2 linked regions of the Drosophila melanogaster genome follow. The gene in region 2 interacts genetically with the main gene of each other region. Each region holds a gene or a part of one and is shown on either strand. Other genes may lie near its edges.

Region 1 (5,433 bases), on a different chromosome or scaffold from region 2:
TAATCCAATGATGACTTGCTTCTAATTGCAGACGAGTCACACGGCGGACATCAAGACATCCGTGCTCTTCTACTGCGGTAAGCCCGCCCTGGTGTCGATGGACTACCTGATCGCTGGCAACAAGTTGACCAGTGAGTTCCGTCTGTCCTACTATCCCCACGGGCTGAAACGATTCCAGGAGATTCTAGCCGAGATCTTCTCCGCCAAAGCCAAGCACCAGTTGTATGGTGACTTCAAGGAGATGAGCCAGGTGAAGAACCCCGCCTTCTACATTCACCTGATCGAAAAGCCACAGGTTTAGATTTAAGTTTTTAGTTGTATTCACATAAGGCCACAAGACACATCCATATAAATATACATAAAGTTCCTTCGATTCGCACAGTCTCGAGTCTCCTCAGTTTTCTTCTAAACCATTATGCAGAATCGACCCACGATGGAGCCAAAGCACAGGGTCACCATGGCGGCCTCGATCACGAACGGGAATTTGGCCTTCACGTAGTTGAACATCCCGGTGTAGATGTTCGACAGGGCAGCCAGTAGTATCAACGTCATCTCTCGTCCGCCGAACTTCGCTTTAGACTGTCACTAAAACGCAATAGCTATCGAAACCCTCAATTCTTGGGGCGAGTGTCATTAGCCTTGCAAATGCTTTTCCATTACGTTTTCAATGGGTTCTGCTTTGCAGAGAAAATGAGTAACGATCGAAATGCGATACTTTAAAAACCAAATACTAGAAAAATTTGTGGTATTCTAATAACAGTGGAGCTGAAAGTTGGAAAACTATGTTACAGCAGTACTACAATACTTTGTATTTCCGAATTATGATGTATGAAGTCTACTATTATTATTCATTATTTTATTCTTATTATTATTTTATTACTATTATTTTACTTTTTGAACTATAATCCGGAAAATGGGACAGTACGTCAAGAATAGATTTTACTGTAGTAGACTTTGTAGCACAATACCCATGGGTATCAAATGTTTTTGTGTCTTCATGAAGGATCGTCTAGCAGAAAACGCTGACGTATGCTCATTAAAGTGTCATCGAATACAAAAAACAGAAGCCAGCTAACGAAAATAGGACTTAATTGACATGTTTATTAAAAATACGTTTTAGTTCTACGCAACGGCTTTACTATCACGAAAACGTGGTGAAATCTTAAGAGCGTGCTTCCCAATCCGAATTTAGATGCCAACGATTTTATTAATGCGCTTGACGTCGGTGATCTGGCGATCGATCTCCCCGGTTAGCTGGGTAAGTATCTCGGTGATAGTGCGGTGCTGTTTCTCCGGCAGCTCGTACGCGTTCTTCTTGAGGTCCTCTTGACTCTGGGCAATGTGGTAGCGCTGCTTGTTAAACGTCTTCTTAGCAGTCTCCAGTCCAGCGGCCAGGCTCTGGGTGACCTTATTAAGTCGAATCACCTCCTGCGAAAACTCCCGTTCCGCAATCACACTATTGGGTAGTGAGGCATTGGCCCTCTGCATCAGAGCGTTGCACTTGCGGACGAGCAGCTCCTGGTTGTAGCTAATCTCCTCGAAGCGCTCGGCAAGCTTGTGGGCCCGCTCGCTGATCAGTTCGCGTTCCTGCTCCAGGTCTTGGATCTCCTGCAGCTGTTGTTCCTTCTTCAGCTGGATCTGGTTGATGTGGCGTGTAAATGCGGCGCGCACAAGGTCATGTCGTTTAAGGTACTGCTCACGAAGCACCTCGATTGCCTGGTTAAGCAGTTCGAAGCTCTCCTGGGCGGATGGCGAGGAAAGTTTATCCGCCAAGATGGGCTGGTTAACACTACGTTGCAAAAGCGATTTAATCGTATCGACAAACGGTGGCCCACTTTCCTGCTGAGACACTTCCGAGTCAACTGGCTTATTCTCATTAGGTGTAACCAACAGCTGGGCATCAATTACCAGCTTAAGGCTAATCACCTGACCGCTGCCCAGCAGTAGAACTATACCGGCAGGAATTTGTAATAGGGCAAGTCCAAAGACTGCGTTCACCGTCTCACTGGAATCGAATTTTGTGCACAGAATGTACTCTGCACTTGCAGAGACCGCCAGCTCTAGACGATCTTCATCGGACTCGCTTTCCAAGTAACGTTGCAGCTCTGCGATAAAGCTGACCGTAACGGCATGAAGTCCTGCGTTGTGGTAGGCAAAGTAGCGAAGCTCATTGATCAAATCCCGCTTTAAGTATATGGGACAGTTGCCTCCTTCTTTTCCAGTTGCGGGTGCAGATATTCCCAGCTCAAGTTCGACAGTTTCTAGTACATGTACAACGTATTCGGCGGGTTCAATCAACACAGAGTCGTCAACCTCATTGAAAGAATGCTCAGTGGCCTCCGCCTCCATAAGCAGAGCATGGTGAAGCTTTCCATTGGATTCAGCTATAACAATGGTCGGCGGAAGTGATGGGATAATCATTAGGGCACAGGACTCCAGTCCATAATTGTCATGTGCCTGTGGCGTTATGGTAACGGGGCCCTGCAGGCGCGTATTCTCCGAATCCACGCCGGTCATCAAAATGTAGATGTTTCCATTCTCGCGGAGCACAACCATGGGCCACTCTATCCTCTCCTGTTTCGGCAGCGATTTGGCCGCCACAAGGGTTTTGTTGCTCTTATCCAAAGTGGTTTCGTTATTGCCGGCTGTTTCTGGTTCAGTGACACGTGGTTTTGCAGCAGGAGCGATGTCAAAGTCAACGGCTAGCTCGCCAAAGTCGCATAGCGAGTTATTGGCCCCACTTCGAAGCACCGGGGGACCCACCTGCCACACGTGGCGCAACTTGGAGTGATTGTACACTCGAATCGTGTTGTTGTTGAGCAGCACGAGCAGCGTGGAGTCTGACACGGAGTGCGGATGCCAGCGGACCTGGCGCACTTCCAAGTGCGGGTTTTTTAGGAAAAGCTGAGTGTCCAGGCCGAACGTGCGGCAGGTGATCACTGGCTTGCCATCCTTGTAGTATCCATCGGGGCCCCAGCGGCGGGGCAGCTCCATTATGACAACGCCGCGCGGTCCACTTAGTGCCACGAGGGAGCCCTCGTTGGAGGCCAGCACGCGGTCCACCTCCAGGCTCACCAAGCTCGATGGAATCAGTGTCTGGAACTGGATATTCACCTTTGCCGCCAGCGATGAGCGCCAGTTGCGAACCAACAGACAGCTGTCCTTCGCGTGCCAGGCAAAGAGCAGATCGTCCTTGCAGTCCAGCAGGTTCTGAGTCCTTTGCACCACGGGCAACCCATTGCGAATCTTCGCGAACAACTCCGTTTTGTTCAATTCCAAGACATCGGTGAGCGACATCGTTTGTTTATGCTTCAATTCGTTGCCCGGCTTGTAAGTCAATGCTAGTGTGATAGTAGTCTTCGGAAATCCGCAAAGTATTTTTTTTTAGTATTTTTTTAATTCGAATTCATGAAACAAGAAATTTGTTAAAAAAACGCTAACACCAACATTTTCGGAAAATGTACTAATAATTATTGCTGCTTAAACTTTTCAACGAAAGACGTTAGCATAAATCATGCTATAAATTTAAAAAATGGAATAATTGATTAATAGTTAATAAAAGATTATAAAAGGTAGATGTTATTATTTTTTAATATTGGTATAATTCACAGAACCCATTAATTCAACAACTTTTAATAATCTATTTAAAATCACTAAGTGCTATAAACATTTAAGTTCTCTTTTGGAGCTCCAACAGTGGCACAGATTTCAACTTCATCGTAATATCTTCAACAAAGTATAGATTTTCGAAGGGAAAACTCGTTTTAAACCTATAATTCCGCAATAACTTGGCTAATGTAACTTTCGCCGATATTAAGGCATATCTCCAACCTAAACAGAAGGAAATAATAAGAATATAGCTAAAACAATGGTCATAAATTAGCGATCACTCTGTTACCTATGCAATTTCGAATGCCCTTGGTAAAAGGTATATAGGCGTACGGATGCTTGTCCTGGATGTTGTGGGGGAGGAAATGATCTGGGTTGAAGGTCTCCGCATCCGGACCCCAGATCTTTTTGCTTCTGTGCATGTGATAAATGTCGATGGCGATCTGGACCCCTTTGGGAACCACTATACCATTGGACAGCTTCAGATCCTGAGACGTTTGTCGGGATACGACAGGAACAGGGGGTATTACTCTCATGGATTCGTTGAGGATCAGGTCAAGGTACACCATCTGCTGGGTGTCCGCGTAGGATACATCAAAGTCTCCTGTGTTTGGGAATATCGTCTTTATTTCCTCAAAGGCCCTCTCCTGGTATTCCGGAAACATCGCCAGCAACATCAGGGTGTAGTACACTGCATTAGCCGTGGTCTCAAAAGCTCCAAAAACGATGATATTCGACTCATCCTCAACATTCTTCAGGGTAAACACTCCTCGTCTCATCAAATCCGTGACCAGATTTAGAAATAGGTTTTTATCATTGGACTGGATGGAAGGTAGTGCTCCCATTTCGTCCTCGGCCAACTTTCTCTCAATTATCTAAAGGGGTTAAGAGATTCGTAAGTGAATAAGCGGAGGGAGTAGTTGGAGGTGCTCACCTTCCGAATAAACTGACGAATCTCAGTTTTGGCCTGGTAGTAGTGCGATTCCTTTCCAGCCAGCTGCCGGCAAAATCGGCTATTGAGCCACGGAGAGAAGCACATATCTGTCATGGTTTCCAGGATGCTATTAATGGATAGATGCATTCCGATTCCAAGTCAAAACTCACCATTGGTATCGCCCCAGCAAGGAATTGCTCCTGAAGCTCTCTTCATCCTTTACATCGCTGCCCATGGTGGTTTCTGCTTTCATATAAGTATATCATATATTTAATATCAGATCGACTCTTCTAACTGAATTATGCATTCTGGCTTTCGACCACTTTGTATGCAAACAACAAACGTGATAGCCATAATTTATGAGTCTTTTTTTAAACAAACAACACATTCTTCTTTACTCACGGGTGGCAATTCCCAGGGTGAAGCTCTGCAGCAGTGGAATGAGATCCTTCTCGCCGTCATCCTGCAGTGGTTCGAGTTGATCGAGCAGAAGGGCCGTCTCCCGGTTGAAAATGGGCAGGAAGCTGAGTAGCACCTTGTGGCCGAAGGCGGGATTCAGCAGCTTCCGATGGATGCTCCAGCGGGGATCTACACAAATCCACACTTAAGTAACTCCCACACTCGATTCCATAGACACACACCCTTCAGGCTGAATAATCCAACTCCGGCGCCATCGTCCACTGCCTTGTAAATAATGCCCTTGTTGACGCAGTGGGGAGATGTGAAGATATCCTGCACCACTTGGGGATCACTCACAATCATAAAGGGAATGGGCCCCAGCCAGGAGAAAATTGTCGGACCGTGCTTGTCGAGAAAGCAGCCGAATGCGTTGAGGATATCTGCGCACGGACACTCAGATTATTACTCCCGACCAACACAACAAACATCAC
Region 2 (8,373 bases):
AAACCACACAACTTACAGTTGGATCTATAGTACAATTTTTTCTGGATCCAAGGATAAAGCCCTTAGAGCTAAACAAGAAACAACTGGTCTATTGTCGCCCATACAATGTTGTAATAAAAGGATAAGGACATATTGTATATTTAAAATATATAAATAGTATTTGTAAGGACGGAATTGTAAGTCATTAAAGCCATATTAGTATGTAGCATATACATATAAGATTTGTCAAAAATTACGCTTAACTTTAGAAAAGGAGTTGTACCCTATTGTTCGTTAAATATAATGTCATTTAAAAAAAAACATTATTTCATGGAAAAGTAGTAACAAAAATCAGTCTTTAGGCTTAGAAAGAAATATCGTATCACCAACATACTGACTTCTCCTGGAGTATATTAGCATGGATGCGTTGCGCAAGGAATCTGTAAATACAATACTGATTTTAAAACCTTGTCATCAAAGTAAATAATTATAATCGCACCTCATTGCGTGCGAGGGCACCGCTGCCACAAACAACAAGAATATGACATTGCCCAGCTCATCCATATGGGCATAGCACTTGTGGTAGTCCGAGCAGCTATATTGGTCCACTAACGTAGTTTTATTGCTGGACGACTGGGTTTCAAATTGGTGGACTGCATCCATAGTTTGATCGAAAAACTTCTTTAGAATGTCCAAGCGCTGTAGATCGCCCACAATGATGCGCTTGACACTCGCCGACTGGTTTAGATTTCTGGTAAAGAGACTTTTTCGCGTGTGTCGGTTAATTAGAATGATGGCCAGCACATTTCCATCGATCTCCAGATGCTCGGGCAGACTGCGCGGCACGCATCGCTCGGCGGCTGCCAAAAGGTTGCCTTCATTCCGGTAGGCACTCATGGCATGTGCATGCAACTCTCGGAACGAGGCATTCTCAGCGCCACACAGGACACACAGAGCACTGTTCGACGCCACAGGAATACTGACAAAGCGGTAGGCTATATGGGGACTTTTCACGGGCAAATAGACCGGCACATCGTGTTGCATTGTGCTCGACGAATTCAACAGAAACAGCAGCAGCTCGCGGTCCCGAGTGTCCAGATCCCACCAGCCCTCAGTGGCCACAGCGATACGGTGTCCCACAACCAGGCAGCAAAAGAGCGAGCCACAGTGGCCACTAAATTCATTTAGACACTGCAGCAGCTGGGCGTTTTCCGCCGCCAGCAGACAGTCCGTGTAGCCCAGGAGTTGTGTACCCGCACAGGCGGCTTCCAGAATAGCGTCAACAATCGGGACATACTTCTTGGCGTCCTTCTTCAGTCTATCGAGGAGCGTTGCATGTGCCATTTCTGCGGCCCGGGTAATGAACATGCCTATCGCTCCAAAGACAAGATCAGCCAGCGTCTGAAGCAGTTGCTCCGACCCAACACCGCAGCCGCACACGATCAGGGTGATGGATTCCCGGTCGCGCCATATGTAAGTCCACTCCTCGGCATCCGCGGGAGCCTGATTCTGGATAGGCTGCTGTTTGCTGGTCGTCGTGGCCTCCAGTTGGATTCCCAGCGACTTAAAGAACATGTGAAAGCCGTTTAAGGAGGCCACCGTCGAGAAGGGCAGCTGGATATGGAGAAAGGGTATTAACTAAGTGAATAGGTAGGCAATATGTTACTCTTACATTTTCGCATTCTCCCTTCTTTCGTGTAAACACTGGCAATCCGCCGTTTGTTGTCAAACATAACAAATAGATGGACATCGCAGCTCTTCTTCTTCGCCGAACCTGCTACGTATGATGCTTACATCGATTAAATCGATTCGTTTTGAATTATCGAAAATAAGCGATGCACTAGTAAATTAATATGATTTATTTTAAACTTTTATCTGAATTACTTGCATACTTTTAGTGTTTTAATGTAATAAATCAGTAAGATGCAGTATTTTGTAGCTGATTCAGGAGAACAGATCAAATTCAAATATATTTATGTCAATTTATGCATGCATGCATACTGGTTTGTTTTTCCATTAAATTAAACAGATAATATTTTTTTGTATTTTTTTTTAAAACATCGCTGCTTAAAACATCGATGTTTTTCGATATCAGGGACATCGATGTTTCTGGCAGTAAGTAAGCCAACAAACTAAGCATCTTCATCCATGCCATTTGATTATTTTATTCGATCAACGTTATCGATCACTTTGCGTGCATGCCTGTAGACCAGGGCTGTGGACGTATGTTTGTTCAGCACCATACGGGCACACTGTTCTCACAAATTGCATTTCGCATTGTCCGTCGTCGTCGTTTTCACACGCTGCTCTTTTCTGGAATCGGTAAAAGGTAAGCTTGATATGTGAATTACATGTTCATGATTGTTAATTAATTACACACTGCGTCCTCGCTGGCGCGTTTTGAAAAGCTAAGAAAATTTGGGAAATGCCGCCGCAGTCTTGTCGCATTTGCGGCGGCGATGCGTTCGCCTGTGCCAGTGTGTGCGTATGTGTGGTGTGCCGAGCGCTTGTATGTGTGCGAGTGCGAAAAAGTGTAGCGCGCGCAGGCAACAGCGTGCGCTTGTAGTTGTGTGTTCCAAAAAAATGAAACAAGAAAACAAAAAAGAAATATGGTTGCCTGTCGACAGGCGTAAAAGTACGCAATATGTATAACCAACGGTCTTATTTCCACAGCTTCAGGTCCAGTCCCGGCACCAGATCCAGATCCCGATCCAGATCGAGAGTCGCCGCTCCTCACCGTCATCATAGTGCGAAGAAGAAGAAGCTGAAGCAGAAGCCGCCGCGCACTTTCGATAAATAAAGTGGAAAAAAAAAACAGCAAAAACAAGAAATCCAAAGGGAAAAAACGTGAGATCCGAGCTCATCCGGCGGAGGAGGAAGCCAAGAAGCTATCAAAATTAACGCGGACACAACTGCAGAGCGACGCCGACGCGAACGCCGCTTCTACTACAAAGCGATGGCGACAATGTTGACATCGGACGAGGCGGGCAAGCTGCTCGACTTCTCCCAGAAGCTGGACATTAATCTGCTGGACAAGATCGTCGAGGTTGTGTACACAGCGCAGGGCGAGCAGTTGCGTCTAGCCCAGAGCATACTGACCACGCTGAAGGAGCATCCAGAGGCATGGACGCGGGTGGACAGCATATTGGAGTACTCACAGAACCAGCGGACCAAGTTTTATGCTCTGCAAATCCTCGAGGAGGTCATCAAAACGCGCTGGAAGGTCCTGCCGCGCAACCAGTGCGAGGGAATCAAGAAGTATGTGGTCAGTCTTATCATCAAGACCTCGTCGGATCCCATTGTTATGGAGCAGAACAAAGTGTATCTGAATAAGCTAAACATGATTCTGGTCCACATTCTAAAGCGCGAATGGCCACGCAACTGGGAGACATTCATCAGTGACATTGTCGGTGCGTCGAAAACGAACGAGAGCCTGTGCATGAACAACATGGTAATCCTGAAGAACCTTAGTGAGGAGGTGTTCGACTTTTCGCAGGGTCAGATCACGCAGACTAAGGCCAAGCACCTGAAAGACACCATGTGCTCGGAGTTCTCTCAGATCTTTACACTATGCTCCTTCGTGCTGGAGAACTCGATGAATGCCGCCCTAATCCATGTCACGCTGGAGACTCTGCTGAGGTTCCTTAACTGGATACCGCTGGGCTACATCTTTGAAACGCAGCAAATTGAAACGCTGATATTCAAATTCCTTAGCGTACCCATGTTCCGCAATGTGACCCTGAAGTGTCTGTCCGAGATCGCCGGCCTGACTGCGGCAAACTACGACGAGAATTTCGCGACGCTCTTCAAGGACACGATGGTTCAGTTGGAACAGATAGTCGGCCAGAATATGAACATGAACCATGTGTTTAAGCATGGTTCCGACACAGAGCAGGAGCTGGTCCTTAATTTGGCCATGTTCCTGTGCACCTTCCTCAAGGAGCACGGCAAACTGGTGGAGGATGCCAAGTATGTGGACTACCTGAATCAGGCGCTCATGTATTTGGTGATGATTAGCGAGGTGGAGGACGTGGAAGTATTCAAGATCTGTCTGGAATACTGGAACAGCCTTGTGGAGGATCTATACAATTCGGAATTCTTCCACCCCACCCTGGAGTCTACAAAGAGGCAACAAGTGTATCCCCGTCGACGTTTCTACGCCCCCATCCTGTCCAAAGTGCGATTCATTATGATCTCGCGCATGGCCAAGCCGGAGGAGGTGCTGGTGGTGGAGAACGAAAACGGGGAAGTGGTGCGCGAGTTCATGAAGGACACAAACTCAATAAACCTGTACAAGAACATGCGCGAAACGCTGGTCTTTCTTACCCATTTGGACTCTGTGGACACGGACCGCATCATGACGCTAAAGCTGCTTAATCAGGTGAACGGATCGGAATTCTCTTGGAAGAACCTGAACACGTTGTGCTGGGCCATTGGTTCCATATCCGGTGAGCCATTTTTGGTGTTTTATTCCCAGTCTGTACTTGGTTTTTATAAATCACAAACATTCATTCCTGATTATCATGGACCACCATTATTTCCGAGTATAACCCTATTTTTTTTTGTGCTTTTATCACTCTTCAGGTGCTTTTTGTGAAGAGGACGAAAAACGGTTCCTGGTCACCGTGATCAAGGATCTATTAGGCCTGTGCGAACAGAAGAAGGGCAAGGACAACAAGGCCATTATTGCCTCCAATATCATGTATGTGGTGGGACAGTATCCACGCTTCCTGCGCGCCCATTGGAAGTTCCTCAAGACGGTGGTAAACAAACTCTTCGAATTTATGCACGAAACGCACGATGGTGTCCAGGATATGGCATGCGATACGTTCATCAAGATAGCCATCAAATGCCGCCGCTACTTTGTCACCATCCAGCCGAATGAGGCATGCACCTTTATTGACGAGATTCTCACAACAATGAGCAGCATCATTTGTGATCTGCAGCCGCAGCAGGTAGTGGCTTTTTTTAATTACAATATTATTATACCTACATTTGAAGCTTAATCAGTAAAAGCTATACTAATGTATAAATTCATTTGTAGGTTCACACGTTCTATGAAGCTGTCGGCTACATGATCTCCGCCCAGGTGGATCAGGTACAACAGGACGTCCTCATCGAGAGGTACATGCAACTGCCCAACCAGGTGTGGGATGACATCATCTCCCGCGCCTCGAAAAACGTTGACTTCTTGAAGAACATGACCGCTGTCAAGCAGCTGGGCAGCATCCTTAAAACGAATGTGGCTGCCTGCAAAGCCCTGGGTCACGCGTATGTCATTCAACTGGGCCGCATATATCTGGACATGCTGAATGTGTACAAGATAACATCAGAGAATATCATTCAGGCCATCGAGGTGAATGGCGTCAATGTGAACAATCAGCCCCTGATCAAAACCATGCATGTGGTCAAGAAGGAGACGCTTAACTTGATATCCGAGTGGGTGTCTCGTTCCAACGACAATCAGTTGGTGATGGACAATTTCATACCGCCTTTGCTGGACGCTATACTGCTAGATTATCAGGTAACTTTCAAAACTCACAATGAATACATAATACATTAATACTAATGTTATTTTTCCTTATTTTGTAGCGCTGCAAAGTTCCATCGGCACGGGAGCCCAAGGTTTTAAGTGCGATGGCAATCATTGTGCATAAACTGCGTCAGCATATCACAAATGAAGTACCAAAAATATTTGACGCCGTCTTCGAGTGCACGCTGGACATGATCAACAAGAACTTTGAAGATTTCCCACAGCACAGACTTAGTTTCTACGAGCTACTGCAGGCGGTCAATGCGCACTGCTTTAAGGCGTTCCTTAATATACCGCCGGCTCAGTTCAAACTGGTCTTCGACTCGGTGGTGTGGGCATTCAAGCATACCATGCGGAATGTGGCCGACATGGGATTGAATATCCTATTTAAGGTACATTCACTAATTAAACTTGCTTATCGGTTTTTTTTGTTTATTAACGGGTATTTTCAATTTCAGATGCTTCAAAACTTAGATCAGCATCCCGGTGCGGCGCAGAGCTTCTATCAGACGTACTTTACAGATATTCTAATGCAGATATTTTCGGTGGTCACTGACACCTCACACACGGCCGGGTTGCCCAATCATGCCATCATTCTGGCGTACATGTTCTCACTGGTGGAGAACAGGAAGATTACGGTGAACCTGGGTCCGATTCCGGATAATATGATATTCATACAGGAATATGTCGCGTCGCTGCTGAAATCGGCATTTACCCATCTGTCCGATAATCAGGTCAAAGTCTTTGTCACTGGCTTATTCAATTTAGACGAGAATGTGCAAGCATTTAAGGAGCATTTGAGAGATTTTCTCATACAGATTCGCGTGAGTATTTATCAAATGATGGCCATTAAAGCTGGCCAACTGCTAGTAAATATCATTTACCTTAATGTATATAAATTGAATTGCAGGAGGCCACCGGCGAGGACGATTCCGATCTGTACTTGGAAGAGCGTGAAGCGGCTCTGGCCGAGGAGCAGTCAAATAAACATCAGATGCAGCGTAATATTCCAGGAATGTTGAATCCGCACGAGTTGCCCGAGGATATGCAGGACGAATAGATGTCGATGTCGATGTCGATGTCACTGAGCTAGAATGTTTTAGTTGATGCTTGAGAATGATAAAAGGATGGTGATGTATGAGTGTTTCTCGAGCGAGAAAGTATAAATGTTTGTTTGATTGAATGCATATAAGTACGTTATATATATAAATACATCCACACAAGACCCACAACACTTGCATACACACACATACACATACACCTATACAGATATAGCTGCGTTAAAAGGTGAATGAGTAAATGGTTATTCGTGCGCAATTACATACATTAATATGATTAACATATTTTTGCGCATTGTCCTCGACATACCAGCATAAATAAGATGCCCAGCCAGTTCCCAACTCCCGCTCCCCTATCCACATTATATAGTTGTAAAACGTCATAATAATACTACACGCAACCGATACGAAAGATGCAAACTTTATTGTACTAATATAAAATAATGTTTGTTTGGAATTTTTTAAATGAGTAATTGTAGAAAGATCCGAGTATGAATGAATATTTGAACAAACACAAACACACCTCTCAGAGAAACCCACACAAAAATGAGCAAAGGAAACAAGAATATTAAGATGAAGAAAACCTTAAAGTAAAAATTTAATTGTAGTGACTTAAACAGATCAGATGCTGGCAGGAGTAAACAAAATTGTATGCAATCTTTTTGCATAAATCTAGCATTAACCCGACGTTGAAGACGATGGACGCCGCAATAAGGAGACGATCAAGAAAGCACGGCATCATAACCAGAATAGAGTTCATGCAATGTGTGAAAAAAAAAGAAAACTAAAACGCAAATACCCAAAACACAAATACATCAAGAAAAACAAAAGTAACCATAGAAATGCGTATTAAATCGTTTAAATTTTTACATAATTAGTTTGTACATTAATTTAAATAAAAATCAATTAAAACTACATTGATGTATGATGCAAAGCCACATTTAAGTTTCAATTGTAACGATTTTGATAGTAATATAGTGTACGTATCTAATCTCGTGGAATTTCGCAATTGATTGAAACATTATTGGATTGATGCCAATCAATTTTGAAAGTTTGGTGGGATATCTGTATATCTGAAATGTTTTCGTTTAATCCTTGAGCAACTAGTGTCAAAAGATTTTTATTTCGAATATTTAAAGTCAATTTTAGAGAAAAGTTTATTAAACGTTTGTTGTGGCAGTTGTATTGAACTATAGGTAGATACAATTATTTAGGTCCCGCTTTTTGAGGCACTGATAATCTGTTGTTATGTAGAAAGAGCGTGTCCTTAGAGTAGCCCTTCCAGGTTTCGAAAATGTCCTGGGAAATAAGCCAGGTGTTGCCAACTGGCGTCACGGGATAAACGTCGTCTTTGTTGCTAAAAGGCAGCTCGATTTCGTGCGAGACTTTCAGCTTGAAAGCGGTACCATTAAAGGGTCGTCCAGCATGGAGAGCCACTGTCACATCTTCCAGGAAGAGTCTCCACCGAGGCCTATAGTAGTCGCTCACCAAGCCGGACCACTGTTTGCACGCATAGTCCAGGATCTGACCATCAGGACCCCAGGCGGTAATTTGGTTTCTCGCATTGAATTCGAAGTTTCTTTGTTGCCCAGTGTTCGGTGCCGCTTGCTTGGCCTGCTGCAGCCAGTTGCCGAGCAGAAAATTCCTGCTGCTCGCCAGGATCAGCTCCATGTCATCGAACAGTTTCAACAGCTTGACGCTAAGGAATTCGAAACGCGAAACCTGTCGCTTTCTATAGGCCGACCTTAGATTGATATACAACTGATCTGCGCTGATCTGCAGGAATTGCCTGGTTATGTCCAC

Evidence for each region.
Region 1: of emb (region 2) and mbo, changing one suppresses a phenotype caused by changing the other (phenotypic suppression), as found in Drosophila melanogaster (one study listed by BioGRID).

Annotation. Positions count from the first base shown.
Region 1 is NT_033777.3:12,675,705-12,681,137, forward strand, and holds mbo (members only), read right to left. Parts: upstream 3,349-5,433; 5' UTR 3,298-3,348; coding exon 1,189-3,297; 3' UTR 783-1,188; downstream 1-782. Other genes in the region: Gnmt (glycine N-methyltransferase), read left to right, coding at 32-301; CG43630 (uncharacterized protein), read right to left, coding at 406-552; Cyp313a4 (cytochrome P450 313a4), read right to left, coding at 3,671-3,831, 3,899-4,484, 4,544-4,670, 4,714-4,786, 4,946-5,131, 5,185-5,382.
Region 2 is NT_033779.5:8,401,353-8,409,725, forward strand, and holds emb (embargoed), read left to right. Parts: upstream 1-2,220; 5' UTR 2,221-2,308; intron 2,309-2,355; exon of another isoform or gene 2,356-2,572; intron 2,573-2,652; 5' UTR 2,653-2,935; coding exon 2,936-4,427; intron 4,428-4,563; coding exon 4,564-4,934; intron 4,935-5,023; coding exon 5,024-5,503; intron 5,504-5,571; coding exon 5,572-5,904; intron 5,905-5,970; coding exon 5,971-6,336; intron 6,337-6,422; coding exon 6,423-6,572; 3' UTR 6,573-7,501; downstream 7,502-8,373. Other genes in the region: CG31898 (uncharacterized protein), read left to right, coding at 1-125; fy (fuzzy), read right to left, coding at 362-419, 479-1,593, 1,652-1,729; Naglu (N-acetyl-alpha-glucosaminidase), read right to left, coding at 7,777-8,373. UniProt on the Drosophila melanogaster protein: Receptor for the leucine-rich nuclear export signal (NES). Binds cooperatively to the NES on its target protein and to the small GTPase Ran in its active GTP-bound form.